2 linked regions of the Notamacropus eugenii genome follow. The protein of the gene in region 1 interacts with the protein of each later gene in a pairwise test. Links are inferred from orthologs where the notes say so. Each region holds a gene or a part of one and is shown on either strand. Other genes may lie near its edges.

Region 1 (7,945 bases):
CATAATAAATAAATATGAATAATTCTTGGTCGAATGAAGCACTAACAATTATGTCGGTGTCGGAAAACATTCATGTACAAAGTGGCACTTCAAGTGACCTTGAAGGGAATTAGGGTCTGTTAGAGATAACAATGTGGAGGATGTACCTTCCAAGAACAGGAGACAGATGTACAAGCAAGGGCTAGATGGTAAAGTGAATAGAGCACCAGACCTGGAGTCAGGAAGACTCATCTTCCTGAGTTCAAATCTGACCTCAGAATCTTGTTAGCTGTGCGACCCTGGGCAAGTCATTTGGTCCTATTTGCCTAGTTTTCTCATGTGTAAAATGAGCTGGAGAAGGAAATGGCAAACCATTCCATTATCTCTGCCAAAAAAAAAAGCAAAAAAACTAAATGGGGTCAAGAAGAGTCAGACACAACTGAAAAATGACTGAAGAACAAACACAAACTAGAGGGAATGGAACAGCATTACTACCAAAAATAGGCATCTGAGAAAATATTGGTAATTACTTACCAAAATGCCTACTTTTCCATCTCTACAAAATGTTTTTGAGAATAACCTATTTAGACACCAAATGCATCCTTCATGAAAGATTAAGAAGAGAACACAAAGGCAAAATATATTCCACAACAGACCATGCTTTTAGAGTCATATAAATGACTGAAATGCATAGAGTGCATAAGATGCCACCGTGGCTAATGCTTTTTAACTACTTTTAAAAGCATTTAATTCAGTACAGCTAAATGTCACCTTAAAGAATATACATCCCAACAATGTGTCTTCCAAATATATGTCAAAATCACACAAGATTGTTTGAAAGAAGAAACAGAGAGAACTTTAGGCAATATCACTCTGATTATTAGCAAGCATCAAGGAATACTAATGATACTATATATAAATATATATTATATATGTGTGTAACATACTTATGGATATGCAATTATAACTATGTATTATAATATCAATTTATAAATATACCATATTGAAATTTATCATAATTACATTACACATAATTGAATTTTATAATTATGATAGAATTGTATATTATTAATTGAACTATATGTTCTATATTCTCTAATAATATAATATATAGTATGAGATAATGCATATAATGCTATTTAAATATACAAAAATTTTAATGTTCTAAGACATATAATTATCTGTATTATGTTATACTGTTATTATATTATTATATATTATGTAATAATATATAGTTATTTACATAATTATAAAATATAACATTTCAATAATATAATTTCAATAACTATAGAATTTCCATAATAATTTCAATAGCTATAGAATATATACTTCTATAATATATTGTTGCATATAAATACAATATCCAATATAATAATATTATGCATATAAACATATATGCTTATATACTAATGATAGTATATAAGAAATACACAAGCTCATGCTCACCAGAGATGTTTGCCTTTGCCATACAGAATGTCCAATACGGAATTTAAATGGAAATGGGATCCCCTATAAATGGTGAGGACCTATTTTCAAATGATATTTTGCTGATATTTCAAACTGTGGAATACTGCAGAATTTCCTACATCAGATACATGCCTCAATCGATCGGTAAATATTTATCAAGTACTTACTATGTGCCAGGCACTTTGCTAAGCACCAGTGATGCAAAAAAGAGGCAGAATATAGTCCCTGCCCACAAGGATCTAATCTCTAACTCAAAAGAGTTCAACCTAACTACCTACAAAGGAAAAACTAAGTGGATAAAGAATGTTTATTATCCAGATCATGATATATAATTAGATGGAAAAGCCTTAGAGCTGGTCCATCCAATCTATTCCAATCTAGCAAGCATTCTTTAAATGTCTTCTATGTTCAGGCAAAGGACTTGAAATTAAAGCCCCCTTTATTAGAGACGGGATAACAAATTATGTTATACAAAACTAATAGAGAATTATTGTGCCCTAAGAAATAATGAAATGTATGCTTCAGAAAAACCTGCAAAGACAAATATGAACTAATCTAGAGTGGAGTGAGTAGAACTAAAACAATTTATACAATAATAATAAAATTGTAAAGAAAACAACTATTAAAGGCTTGAGAACTTTGACCAAGGCAATGACCAATGATGATTCCAGAGGAGTGACTATGAAGCTACTCATCGCTTGAGAAAGAGGTAATGAGCTTAAGAAGTAGAATAAGACATAGCCAATGTAGTACTTTGTTTTGCATATTTCTGTGAATCGTTTTTTCTTTCAATGTGAAGGATGAGGGAAAGTAGAATAAGAAAAAAAGGAAAAGGAAGAAAAGAAAAAGAGAGATGAAGGAAGGAAGAAAAAGAAGAGAGGAGAGAAAGGAGAGGAGAACAAGGAAAAAGAAAGGAGAGAAAAAGAAAGGAAAGGAGAGGAGAGGCAAGAAGAGGAGAGGTGAGGAGTAGGCGAGGAGAGGCAAGGAGAGGCGAGGAGAGGCGAGGAGAGGAGAGGAAAGGAGAGAAGAGAAGAGAGGAGAGGAGAGGAGAGGAGAGGAGAGGAGAGGAGAGGAGAGGAGAGGAGAGGAGAGGGGAGGGGAGGGGAGGGGAGGGGAGGGGAGGGGAGGGGAGGGAAGGGAAGGGAAGGGAAGGGAAGGGAAGGGAAGGGAAGGGAAGGAAAGGAAAGGAAAGGAAAGGAAAGGAAAGGAAAGGAAAGGAAAGGAAAGGAAAGGAAAGGAAAGGAAAGGAAAGGAAAGGAAAGGAAAGGAAAGGAAAGGAAAGGAAAGGAAAGGAAAGGAAAGGAAAGGAAAGGGACATTGAAGCATCTTTTTTAACCAATAAACATTTATTAGTCACTTATTATGCACCAAATATGCATAATCAAACAAAACAAGTTCCTACCTTGGTCATATCCAAAAATATACGTCTCATTCTGTATTTGGTGTCTATCACCTCTCTGTCAGAAGGTGGGTAACCCACTTCATCACTGGTCATCTGGAATGAAGGTGCTCATTGCAGTTCTTTTTTTTGCAGGGGGAGTGGGGGGAGGCAATCGGGATTGACTTGCCCAGGATCGCACAACTACTAGGTGTTTGAGGCTGGATTTGTACCCATAAAGATGAGTCTTTTTAACTCCAGGCCCAGTACTCTACACACTGTGCCACCCAGCTACTACTTACTAGTGCTGTAAAATGAATGGGTTGTTTGTACAAAAATACTTATGACGCTGTTTTTTGTGGTGGCAAAGAATGGTACCTGAATATGTATGGAGCATGAATATGTTGGAATACTTATGAATATGATGAAACATCATTGTGGCCATAAGAAATGAAAAGGGGATAGTTTCACAGAAACTTGGGAGTATTTATAGAAAAAGATACAGAATGAAGTGAGCAGAGCCAGGAGAACAATTTATGCAACATCAAAAGTGTAAAGACAAACAACTTCGAGCTCTTTTTAAGAATTCTGTGCAAGGGCAGTTAGATAATACGAGATCTAGAGCACCGGGCCCTAGAATCAGTAGGACATGAGTCATCTTTTTTAAAGAAAAAAAACAAGCAGGGCATCTTTGATAGTTACAGGTTGAATTATATACTTAAAAAATACAGCAAGCTGTACATAATAGCGATCTGCAGTTTCATACATAATCCTCTTTTATGCATTTCTACAGATACAGAATTGCCCAGGTTGTAAAGTTGAAAATAAAAATAAATATTATTAAAAAGAAATTTTGCAGAGTTTTTAATGACCCTGAAAGTCCCATCTCTTTAAGATCCCTATCTTTTGCTGACTGTGTATTGCTGCAAATCACAGAATACCAGCATACAAAAAATTAAATTTATGAATTACCCAAAAGAGAGGCTCATGAAGGGCCAAAGTAGACTACAGTTGATCAGCAATTAATTTTGCAGTGGTGTGATGTTATCAAAGAGAGGTATAGTCTGAAAACGAAGTATGATGGGTCCTGAGGTAAGAGTGAAAGATAGTGAATAGTCAATGTACCCCATCAGTAGCCCCCGAAGGACCAAAGGAAGGCCCTCTGCACCTAGGGTAAACCCTTGTGGAAATTTATGAGAGATGGGCATGAATAAGTAGGAAAAGGATGAGAAGGCGTAGTATAGTGGGTTGCTATCTGAAGATATGCGTACAAACTATTAGTCTGACTTTAACATGAAAACTTTAAGAACAGATGTTATGATTTGACAGACCTGGGAAGACTTCCCCTTCCCCAAAGGGTACTTCTTGCTAATGCCTGAAATTCTACATTAGGGAAGGGAAGACTGCAAGAGAGAGGGTTGTTGTGTTCATCCTTCTTTTGGAAGAGGACGGTGACATCAAGATGAAAACGTGACTTGCAGTTGACTTTGATCTGAGTGAGGGAGGGCTGTGGAAGATCACCAGCCTCACTTTCTCCTCCTGAGCCACCTGGGTCCAGTGATCAGATATTCATCAGGATGACTGGAGAAGGCCCAGGGAGACCTTGACCTTTTAGGCTAAGGCCTTTTCAGGTACTCACTAGAGAGAGGGAGAGAGAAGGGGAGGCCAGAAAGGGAAAGGAGTAACTTGTTCTTTAAAAAAAAAAAATTTTAAGAATAATCCTAATCACTGTAAAAAATTCTGTGTCCAGTGTATAACATGTTTTTAACTGAAGGACCGGAGAAAAATGAAGTCTTATTTCAAACCAGGAGAAAACATAGCCAAATGTGCCCCAGTCCAGCCTACATTTTATAGTTCCCCGAAAGGCAAAGCCCAGAGGGAGGGAGGGAAAGAGGGAAGAAGTTGAAGGTGGACTAGAAAGGGGGGTTGGGGGGGAAGGAGCTGAGGCGCCAGGAGCAGGGTGTGGGGAGGCGGGGCGGGCGGGTCTGGAGGAGGAGGAGGAGGAGGAGGAGGAGGGCGCGCGGAGAACAGAGCCGCGGTCTCCCGGAGGGGCTGCCTCACTTGCACCGGCCCTGCGCCTCCCTCAGTTCCCTCCCCCTTTCCCTCCCTCTCTCCTCTTCCTCCTCCTCCTGCCTCTGCTGCTGCTGCCAGACCTCACCAGCTCAGACTCATCTAGCTTCGCTCTGCATCGCACACACCTTTACGGCCCCGGGCTGGAGGGGAAAGCGCACCCTTGCAGGTAGGAGCCCTCCGGAGCGATCTTAGAGCTTTTAGAATTTAGTTAGCAACCGGCCGTGTATGCACAAGTTCATAGGTGGGTCCTGGTGAGAAAATGGAACTTGCACTGAGGGAATGTGGCAGCGACTCTGCTGGCACACAGGTCTGCTGGCACAGGTCTGCGTATCTCTGCACCAGTTAAGACTTTAGGTATCAGGTGTGTACACGCTGAGTGTGTGTGTTTAGAGGTAGCTGATATTACAGAATAGGAGTGTCCATACATTGGAATTGCATTGCATTTGCATCAATGTGCGTTTTCTTCGTTCCATATATGTGTGTGTAAATCAGCACGTTTGCGTGGATGTAAATATGATTTTGTATATTTCAGATTGCTTGCGTGTGGTGTGCTTTGTAGGTATGTATGGGTCTCAGCGTGAGTGTGCTCTAAGCCAAATCTGTAGTCCTTCAAAAACTGAGTTAATTAAAAGTAGGAGCGCTTAATTCTGCGGCTCTGTCCCCCGGAGTTAGGTAGGCTCCTCCAAAGAAGCTGGAAAACACCTCCATGCCCGCCCAGACCACAGCCAGCCGCGCCCCCAACCTTCCCAACCCCCAACCCTGGCCACCCTACAACGTCTTTCTCTGTGCCCTCTGCCTGGAGACTATGCAAACTCCTGGGTCTTATGGGGGGTAGGGGGGAAAGACGATGAAAAAGGGAGCCAGGCACTCCAGGTTACTTATCTTCTTTGCGTGAGACTTGTAAGGCTATATACACACTGTTAGCTGAGAACCTCTGTGGAAGATCCAATGGGAAAATTTGTGCGGGGGAGGGGAGAGCTGCCAAGAGAGGACTACCGAGATGGGTGGGTAACTAGTAGGGTGAGAGAAGAACATGATTAAGAGATCTCTACAAAAATCTCGAACTAAGGAAATGTGGGGGTGCCCCCCACCACGGACTTTGCAGGGCTTTGCTCTGGTTCTTAGAAAGACAGTGAAAATCTTTAAGAAATCTGAAGTTGTGTTAAAAATATCCCCCCAAACACACACATATACGCACACCTCCTCTCTCCAAAAGACTAGTAAGGAATGTACATTACCTCCTTTGAAACCTATGATGGTTAATTCTCTTTCTAAGTGTGATATCCAATGAGATGGCCATCTTTATTACTTTGGGACTTTGTATATGTAGCTCTGTCTTCCAGGTGAAGAGGGGTTTCTGCTGCTTTTTTTTTTTTTTTTTTTTTTTTTTTTTGCTACTTTTGGTGCCTAGTTTGGCGAAGAGGAAGGGTGGGGTAGAGTCAGATGAGAAAGTGAATTCTTAGTACAGTGTGGTAGACAGCCTCCCCTGCCCTCTATCTTCCTTTAGAGGTTACATTGTATCTCATGTCTTGTCCTTTCAATCAACAGATATTAAAAATCCATTTGTCTTGTGTTTCCTTTGAGATTCAGGATGTTGAAAATACTCTTCCTGACCACTTTGACTCTTGCTCTTGTAAGGTCACAGGAGACAGAGGAGACCATCACATACACGGTAAGGTTTGATGGAATTTAAGATAACTTCAGTTTATAGAGAGTCTATGACAGGAGAGAAATTACCTACCTCTGGAAGCAGATGTGGGATTACTCCCACAGGTCTTTACCACAATGTGTGTAATGAATTAAACAATGCTCCAGCATCGGAGCAGATCGTTCAAAAGTTTATTTACATCATAAACTGAGATAAGAACAAAAACTTAATATGTTAGCCAAGGCAAGAAAAAAACTGATTTATACACTGATGAAAGATATTTATACATTCTAGACATATTCATTAAGCCAGAAAAAGCTTGAAAGGGTAAGTAGGAAGTCATTCACTAACCGATAAAGCCAAAAACTTAGTCACAGGTCGCTCTCAATTAAAATCTAAGTAGATGGAACATTACAGAAGTACCTTAGATCATGTATACATTTAACTGGAGTTTCTCATATGAAGGGAAACTAGTTTATTAAATGTCTTATAGGCTATGTGTGTTTAATAATGTCAGCAGCAAAGTCAAATGTTTTGATGCATTTAGAGTCTCCCATTAGTGAGAGACTTTACTTGTGTGTTAGTCAAAACCTAGTGCTGGGTAAAAAATTGTCTTAAAATATACTTTGTGCAAGTAGGTTATATGAAATTTTTATTAGAATACATAAAATTTCCAATAGTTCTTTGAGAAAATAATTGTATAGCTGTGACCAATGGTTAATAAAATATTGGAAATATCTTCTCACTCCTCCCATTGCCGGGAATTGATGTGGTAAGAACAGAGGAGGGTCGGGACTGCCTCACTTCCGGTAAGTTTTTCACCCTGCTTGTGTTTTCTGCTTTCTAATAATCAATGTTATGAGGAGAATAATAACATTTGCCCTGGCTTAAAATGATCAAAACAACATTGATCCCAATTTGCAAATATAGTAAGTTCTCACCAATTATTGTGGAAATTTTTTTAAATTTTCTTAAAAGTGAGTAAGCATTTTACTGATAATAAACATCATCTCACTTTTTCAATATCATGTAATCCTCAAAATGCTAATTTTTATCTGGCACCATGTCTTTGTGTCATTCAGGCTAATTATAATGAAACAATTTATTATGAATGATTTATTAATTTAATGATCAGGTGATGATTTCTTCCTCTCCTGGGACTAAGCCAGGTCAGAGAAATACTAAATTAGTGCATCTCCTTTTTTTAATCTCTAGGCTTTAATAATGTTCACTTATTAATTCAGTCCAAAGTCACTCTTTCAGAAAGCTAAAATTAAATTTGCTTCCCCTTTATCCAATTATTTAATAAAAGACTGCTGCTTTGATAAATTAGTTAACATAAACTAAAGAATGAATTAATCTTGTAAGTGAATATTTATCATTCACTTATACTGTCTTAT
Region 2 (6,971 bases), on another chromosome or scaffold:
AGATTTGGGGAGAAACAACTATTTCAAATGACTCGGAAAAAGGATAGATTCTATAGGGAAGTCAGGCAGAATCGTGGAATTACAGAATCCCAAGAGTTGGAAGAGATTGCAGAGATCAGGGGGTCTGAGCTATAAGTAAACAAGAATCTTCTTTACGTACCTAACAAGAGGCCACCCAGCCTTTGCTTGAAGACCTCCAGTGAAGGGCTCACTTCTTCTCAAGGCACCCCATTCCACTTTGGGATAGTGGTAATCATCAGGAAGTTTGCCTTTTCTATGGAACCCAATAGTTTCTTTGCAACGTCCATCCATTGCTCTTAGAGGTGGGCTCAGTGACTAGAGTGTTACTGGTTAGACTGCTAAACTTGGAGTAAAGAAGGTCCGAGTTCTAGTTTGGCCTCTGACATATATTTTGTGACCATGTGACGCTGGGCAAATCCTTTACCCTCTGCCTGCCTCAGTTTCCTCATTGATAAAATAAAGATAATGATGTCACTTCCCAAGTTTGTTGTGATGATAAAATGTAAAGACAGGAAGGTTTGCTTTGCAAACCTTAAAGCACTAACATAAATGCCAATTATTATTATTAATTCTGCCCATTGGGGGCAAGCAGAAGAAAAGGTCTAATTTCATAGGACAGTCCTTAAAATACCAGAAGGTGGTTGTCATGTGCCCCCTAAATCTTTACTATCCTTTTTGCCTTTTTTCTGTAGGCTCTCTAGTTCATCAGCACCTTTTGTAAAACAGAACACAATCCTCCAGATGGCGACTGATCGGGTTAGAGTACAGTGAGACCATCACCCCGCTAGTACTGGACATTATGTCAAAGATCAACAATCACATCTTTTAGATTTTTCATTACCCTCCAATTAAGTTTGTCTGGGCCTGGTAAAACGAATCCATCAAGGACAACAAGGCATTCCCTTATCACCTCTCTGCTTTATCTTGGGCATCAATTCTAGGGGCCATTTTTTTTCCCCTTTCCCATCAGATCTTTGTCTTTCTCAGAGAAAAAAAAAGAAGCAAAATCTGAATTGAATTATTCTTCTTACTCTCTGCTGTCCTGCCCTTCATCCTGTCCATTTGAATAATAATGACCCTTTTTATGGTAATAATGAGTTGATACCCAAGATAAGTAAAGAAAATGTTAAGAAAATACCCAGCTACCTTTGATGGATTTGTCACTAAACCTGGATGTATCCCAGGGTACTCAGAGAAGAGGTCTGTGTGATTGTCTAGCTATTCTGTGATCTTTGAAGGAGTATGAAGCATGAAGCTTGTATGAAACTTGCTGTGGGCCTGGAGATGTGCAAATATTTTTCTGATTTTCAAAAAAGGGAAGAAAATGTGCAGTTTAGAAACTATAGGTCAGTGACCTTGATTTCAATTCCTGGCAGAATTCTAGAACATATATTAAAGGGATGTCTCTTGAACATCTAGAAAAAGGAAGCAATGATCATAACGAGTCAGCCTGACAGCAGTTCATGCCAATCTAACTTTACTTTGCTTTCTTTGTTTTCCCTGAGTAACTAGATTGGTAGAATGGGGAAATGTTGTAGACAAAAGATAGCCAGATTTTAGCAGAATGCTACATGTCTCATGGTATTCTGTGGGACAAAATAGAATATTGACTAGATAATAGTACAGTCGTACAGATCCAGCGCCTGTTGGTCAGACCCAAAAAGCAGTCATTAATGGGTCAATGTCAATTTATTTAAAAGGTCTGTAGTGTCCTCTTGAAGAATTCTGGGCTTAGCCCTCTGCTGTTTAACATTTATCATTTTCACCCAAGACTAAGATAAGGTCAAAGTTGGTACCCTTATCAAATTTGCAAATAACAAAAAGTTGGAAGGAATAGTTAAAGACACTTCATCACAGGATTCAGAAAGAGATTCTGAAAAGAAACTTCCTGAAACGTGCATTAATTCCAGCACTTGTTTATATTAAAGTCCATTTGTTAAAAAAAAAAACCCACCACCTAACATTGGGCCTCATCTCATAAAATGAAATTTAATAGGAATAAAGTTTTACGTGTGGACCTCAGAAATACAATTTGGGAGAAGTCTTGGTTAGGCAGTCTACCAGATAAGTGAGACACTTTCAAAGAGATCTAAGAGTTTTGGTGGAATGAAAGGTAACAAAGTTTTGGTACTGCATCCCATCAAAGCAGCGCAGCGATGAGAACTCGGGAGGCAGGAGCACCTCTCTCACTGGCCTGGGCAGAGCAGGTCTAGAGGGCTGTCTTCGGCTCTGGGTGCCCCATTCTAGTTAGAAGTAGGCACGGCCAAGCTGGACCCAGCCCGAGGACGGAGGCCCAAGGGAAGTCTGAAGATGGGTACACCTTGTGTGGGATGGCTCAGGTCCCTACATAAATCAGTTACTCAGAGGCCTCTCAAAGTGATGACAGAAAAGAGATTTATTCGATTCTCGAGAAGCGGGGCTCACCTGTAGGAGTAGGAAAGCCAAAGACAAAGAAAAGACAGTGATTTATACAGACCCTAACACAAGTCCCTCTCCCCCCACTGACCATTATCCTCATTAGCTGAGAATATGGTCTTACATTCTAGACACGAAATCTAACCAATCCCTTTTGAAATGAAGACATCGAGGAATTATGTAAGTTTTGTCCAGTCATTGAGACCCTAATACACTACACAGTTTTATATCCTTATATGGAACTATTCTATTCTAAAAATATTGTAACCTTGAGCCTTTAGGCCTTACCTCACCCCTGGGAGAAAAATTACAATCTGAGGAGTCTTCACTAAGTCTATCCCACTCAACCTGAAGCTTTCACTGGATCCTGGATTTACAAGGGAATGCCACTTTGAAGGTTATTTATGTAGTCCAAAGCCTTTACTTCGTAGATGCGAGGTTTGTCTCAGTGCTTAATGGCCAAGGCAGGATTCAAAACGAGGTCCGGTCCACTGATTCCAAATCCAGGCCTCTGAATACGTGTTTCATGGAATGTACACGTGGTTTGAAAGGTCTCTGCCCTCCCCCCGCCCCCCAGGCTGTCATTCCCAAACCCTGGGAAGTCGAGGAGATCCGGGGAGGATGACGACATCTGCACAGGCCTGGGGAACTTCTCGTTCCGTGGGAGGAGGGCAGGTAGTAGGAGAGGCGGTTGTAGCGACGCCTCCGGGAGCGCCCTTCTCGGGGCTCGGCCGGAGCTGGGGTGAAGCTTCGCACCTTCTGGCACAGACCTTTGGTCCGCGATCCGTCCCGGCGGCTCTCGTGGGTGCAGCGCGGGAGCGCCTCCTATCCCCGCCCCCCGCCCAGCCTGCCGCCCCACGGGAGCTCCGCAGCCGTTGGTTCACTGGCCTCGCGGAGCCCGAGCTAGGTCCGGCGCCAGCCCGCCCCGCACGGACTGAGCGGAGGGGCACGCCCTGCTCCCCTCCCGGAGCCTCACCCCGGACCCGGGCCGAGCTTCCCTCCAAAGCCCTACCCGCCCAGGGCCTGAATCCCCTTTTTCTTTTAGACACCTCACTATCTTCCGGAGTCCCTTCCCCCGAGGACTGTTAGAAAAGGGCGGGGCTCAAGCGGAGGCCAACCCGGCTCTCCCCGAGCCCGCGGGGCAGCGTTCAGACAAAGACATTCCACGGCCCCCGCCCCAGCTCGCTGCCCGCCCGCCCGCAGGGGTGGAGACACGTGTCCGCGCTACAACCTGGTCACGTGTTATAGGGAGCGAGGGAGGGCTAGCGCGTGCGTACTGGCGTTAAGCAGGCTCCGCTAGCGCTCCTCCGCCGGTTCCTCAGTGGAGGCGGTCGACGTGAGGGGCGGGGACTTAACAAGGTGCGCGCCGGTGGTGACGCGCAGGCGCCGTGGCAGAGTCGGGGACTTTGTTCTCGGCTCTGGGAGCAGGGCGGCACCGGTGGCGGGCCGCGCGTGCGCAGTCGCTCACTTCCGGTGATCTCTTTCACTCTGTGTCTGGGTCGATCTCTCGCTGGGTTGTTCTGGTCTGCTCCGGTCCTCTCCGCGCCAGCTCTCCCGCCTCCGCCAACCGCCGCCGTTGCGCGGGCCTCCGCCGCCGCGCTCCGTTCCTCAGCCGCCCTCCCGCCCGCTCCGCACTCATGCAGCGCCGGGACGACCCCGTCGCGCGGCTGTGCCGGCCCCTGGGCCGCGGCGGCGCCGTGGATCCCTCAGGCGCCCACCCGCCGCCGCGCCAGGCGCCGTCCCGGCAGCCGCTGCCCTCTCACCGGCCCCGGGGCGGCGGCGGAGGCCCTCGGGGTGGCGGCGGCTCTCGGGCCGCGCCGACCACGCAGCCCCCGCCGCTGCTGCCTCCCTCGGCCACCGGCGGGGGCCCCGAGGTGGGCGGGGGCGGCCCGGCGCCTGCCCCGACCCCGCTGCTGCCGCCCTCCGCCACGGCCGCCGCCAAGATGGAGCCCGAGAACAAGTACCTGCCCGAACTCATGGCGGAGAAGGACTCCCTCGACCCGTCTTTCACCCACGCCATGCAGCTGTTGGCTGCAGGTGAGCCGGTGCCCCGTGGCGGCGAGCCTCGGAGGGGGCCCGGGCCCAAGCGGGGGAGGGAGGTGTGGGCTCCCCGCTCTTTCTGCGGCTGTAACGGAAGGGGCCCTGGTGGATTCCGCGGAGAGAACGGTGGCTCCGGTCCTGGAGCGCCCCCCCTCCCCAGGCCCGGGCTACGAACCCCCGAGGGAGGGGTGGCATCGGGGAAATGTCACTGTTAGGTCGCGGGGCTGGAAAGGGAAGCCGAGGCCTCAGTTTCCCCGCCTGTAAAACCGAGGGGAGAGGGCGAGCGAGATGCCCGAGGACTCTTCCGAGCCTCAGCTCCCCCATCAGTTAAATGGGGGGGGGGCGGTGAACAAGGTGCCGGAGGGCCTCCGTTTCCCGGTCACTACTGTGAGAGGTGGGGTGACGACGGTCCCTTCGGAACCCGGGGTCCTGCCCCCCTCCGAGGGTCTCCATCCGCAGCCCGTGCCCGGCGCCTCGAAAGCGCCACCTCCATGCCTTTTGATTGACTGGCCGACGGCCGGAGCCCGGAGTCGGCCTCTGCCGCCCGAGGCTGGCCTGGCGGCGGGGCGGCGGGTGCCCCCAGCAGGAGGGCCCTGCCGGGAGGGACCGAGGCGGGCTGGGGTGGGAGGGGCAGGGGGCGGGGCCGGCCGGGGGCGCCTGCGGCCCCAAGTGGACACGACTCCGCCGACCCTACTGGCCGCCCAGGGCCGTCCTCTGTGGGCCCGGCCGTACCCTGCATTCCCTTCCCCTCCCCCCGCGGGTGTTTAACGGCGTGGGATCCTCCTGTTCTCCACTCGAGACTCTGAACCGCGACAGCCGGGGGAGGGGGGCGAGGCGCTCTTTATCCTTAATGCCGGAGGACTCGGCCTGGAGGGAAGTTGCTCCCCCGCGCCTCGCCCCGAGAGCGTGTTGTCGTGGGTTTTATCCTGGTTGGAGAACTGACTAGAGAAAGGGGGTGCCAGTCTTTGTTCTGTGTCTGCTGAACGCGCTCCGCTCCCACATCGCGCGGTCCAATCACCTGGGAGCTCCGATTCCCCTTATCCCCACAACCCATCTGCTTTGTATTAGCTTCTACTTGTGGGATTCTTTTCAAAAGAGTTTTTTATGATAAATAGATTTACTGGGTACGTTAAAATCTGGAACCTTCAGGGCTGGGAACGTTAGTTTATTTGGCAACCTTAAGCATCAGGAGACTTGGAAAAGAAGTGACTTGGCTGTTCTTTGTTCTCTGTCTTGAAGGGGGGCCCGACTTTAAAAACAAAAATTGAAACCTGTGATTGTCAGCATTCCGATCAGTCAAGTTTACATCTCATTTGATGTAATGGGAAACATTTTTAGATCTAATATTGTGTTTAGTGTTGCCCGTTCTCGGTTGTGTGGTGTAATTCAGTTCTTTTGGAAACCTGCTTGGGAAGGGGGTGTTCCCTTTTTAGATTGAGGTTTACTGTGTTGTGACATTGTAAGTGTCAGATTGGCTTAGCGTGGTGGCACCAAAGTGACATGCATTGCTTTTCATTAAGCACCTTCTCTTTTGATATGTAAATATTTTTCTTAATTATTGGAAGTGATGCTTAAAATCTGTGACCCATTTTCAAAAAACACTGATTTTTCTGAAAGATGGCTCTAATAATTAGTCTTTATATTGCCATTGAGTAGCTCCTCATTTGCGTTTTAACTACGAAGTAGTTTCTGCTAGCACATCTCATCAACTGCTGAATAGTCTGGGAATTTATATTTCCAAAAGTATCTAAAAACAGATCTAGATGAAACACATCAAAAATGACCTATAGTGTACTTTTTTAGTGCATTTGTAGTAATGGCTCTTATGTTTAGAGCTGTAACCATACACAGAACTCCTTATTTTGTAGAGCCAAACAGGGTAAGAAATCGTAAGGTTACCAGATCCTTTAGGCCTATACCAAGTTCCCAATAGGTAAATCTTTGTAACTGGAGTTTTAAATGAAAGGTTTCTTAGAGTAAGCACTTGAATGTATTAATCCTCAAACGATTGAGGTTTTTTCCCTTTGTTGGTTTACCTTTTGTTTCCTTCCAAGAGAAACTTTAGGGAAACTTTTTCATTTGTTAAGCTTTGGTTTTTCCTTTAGTTAATTTTACTGAGCTGGTAAAGTAATTAGAGCCTAGATTCTTAACCTTTTACGTATCATGGACCCTTGGGCAAACTTGGGAAGCCTGTGGACTCTTTAGAATAATGCTTTTAAAAGCATAAAATAAAATACTGAAAATGTACAAAAGAAACTAATCATATTGAAATACAGTTCTCAGGATATTTTAAAGAAACTGTTGCATGCAACCCACCTTAAGAACCCCTGTCGGAGAGATTGGATTAGAGAAATATCATTGTTAGGAAAACCAGATGGAGAGCTATATTCCAGTTCTAAGTTGTAATACTTTTTGTTAAGGTATTTATGAATGAATTGTAAAGATTCATTCAGAATTTCAAATATAAAGTGAACCCCAGGAGGCACTCTTAAAGG

The links. The genes of interacting proteins can lie anywhere in the genome.
Region 2: the proteins of EFEMP1 (region 1) and KHDRBS1 interact in a two-hybrid assay, tested with the Homo sapiens proteins (2 studies listed by BioGRID and IntAct). The link is inferred for Notamacropus eugenii from reciprocal best matches to the Homo sapiens genes EFEMP1 and KHDRBS1.

What each region holds. Positions count from the first base shown.
Region 1 is NC_092872.1:650,313,673-650,321,617, forward strand, and holds the start of EFEMP1 (EGF-containing fibulin-like extracellular matrix protein 1), read left to right. Parts: upstream 1-4,928; 5' UTR 4,929-5,063; intron 5,064-6,481; 5' UTR 6,482-6,488; coding exon 6,489-6,569; intron 6,570-7,327; coding exon 7,328-7,354; intron 7,355-7,945. UniProt on the Homo sapiens protein: Binds EGFR, the EGF receptor, inducing EGFR autophosphorylation and the activation of downstream signaling pathways. May play a role in cell adhesion and migration. May function as a negative regulator of chondrocyte differentiation.
Region 2 is NC_092876.1:77,776,425-77,783,395, reverse strand, and holds the start of KHDRBS1 (KH domain-containing, RNA-binding, signal transduction-associated protein 1), read left to right. Parts: upstream 1-3,945; 5' UTR 3,946-4,073; coding exon 4,074-4,473; intron 4,474-6,971. UniProt on the Homo sapiens protein: Recruited and tyrosine phosphorylated by several receptor systems, for example the T-cell, leptin and insulin receptors. Once phosphorylated, functions as an adapter protein in signal transduction cascades by binding to SH2 and SH3 domain-containing proteins.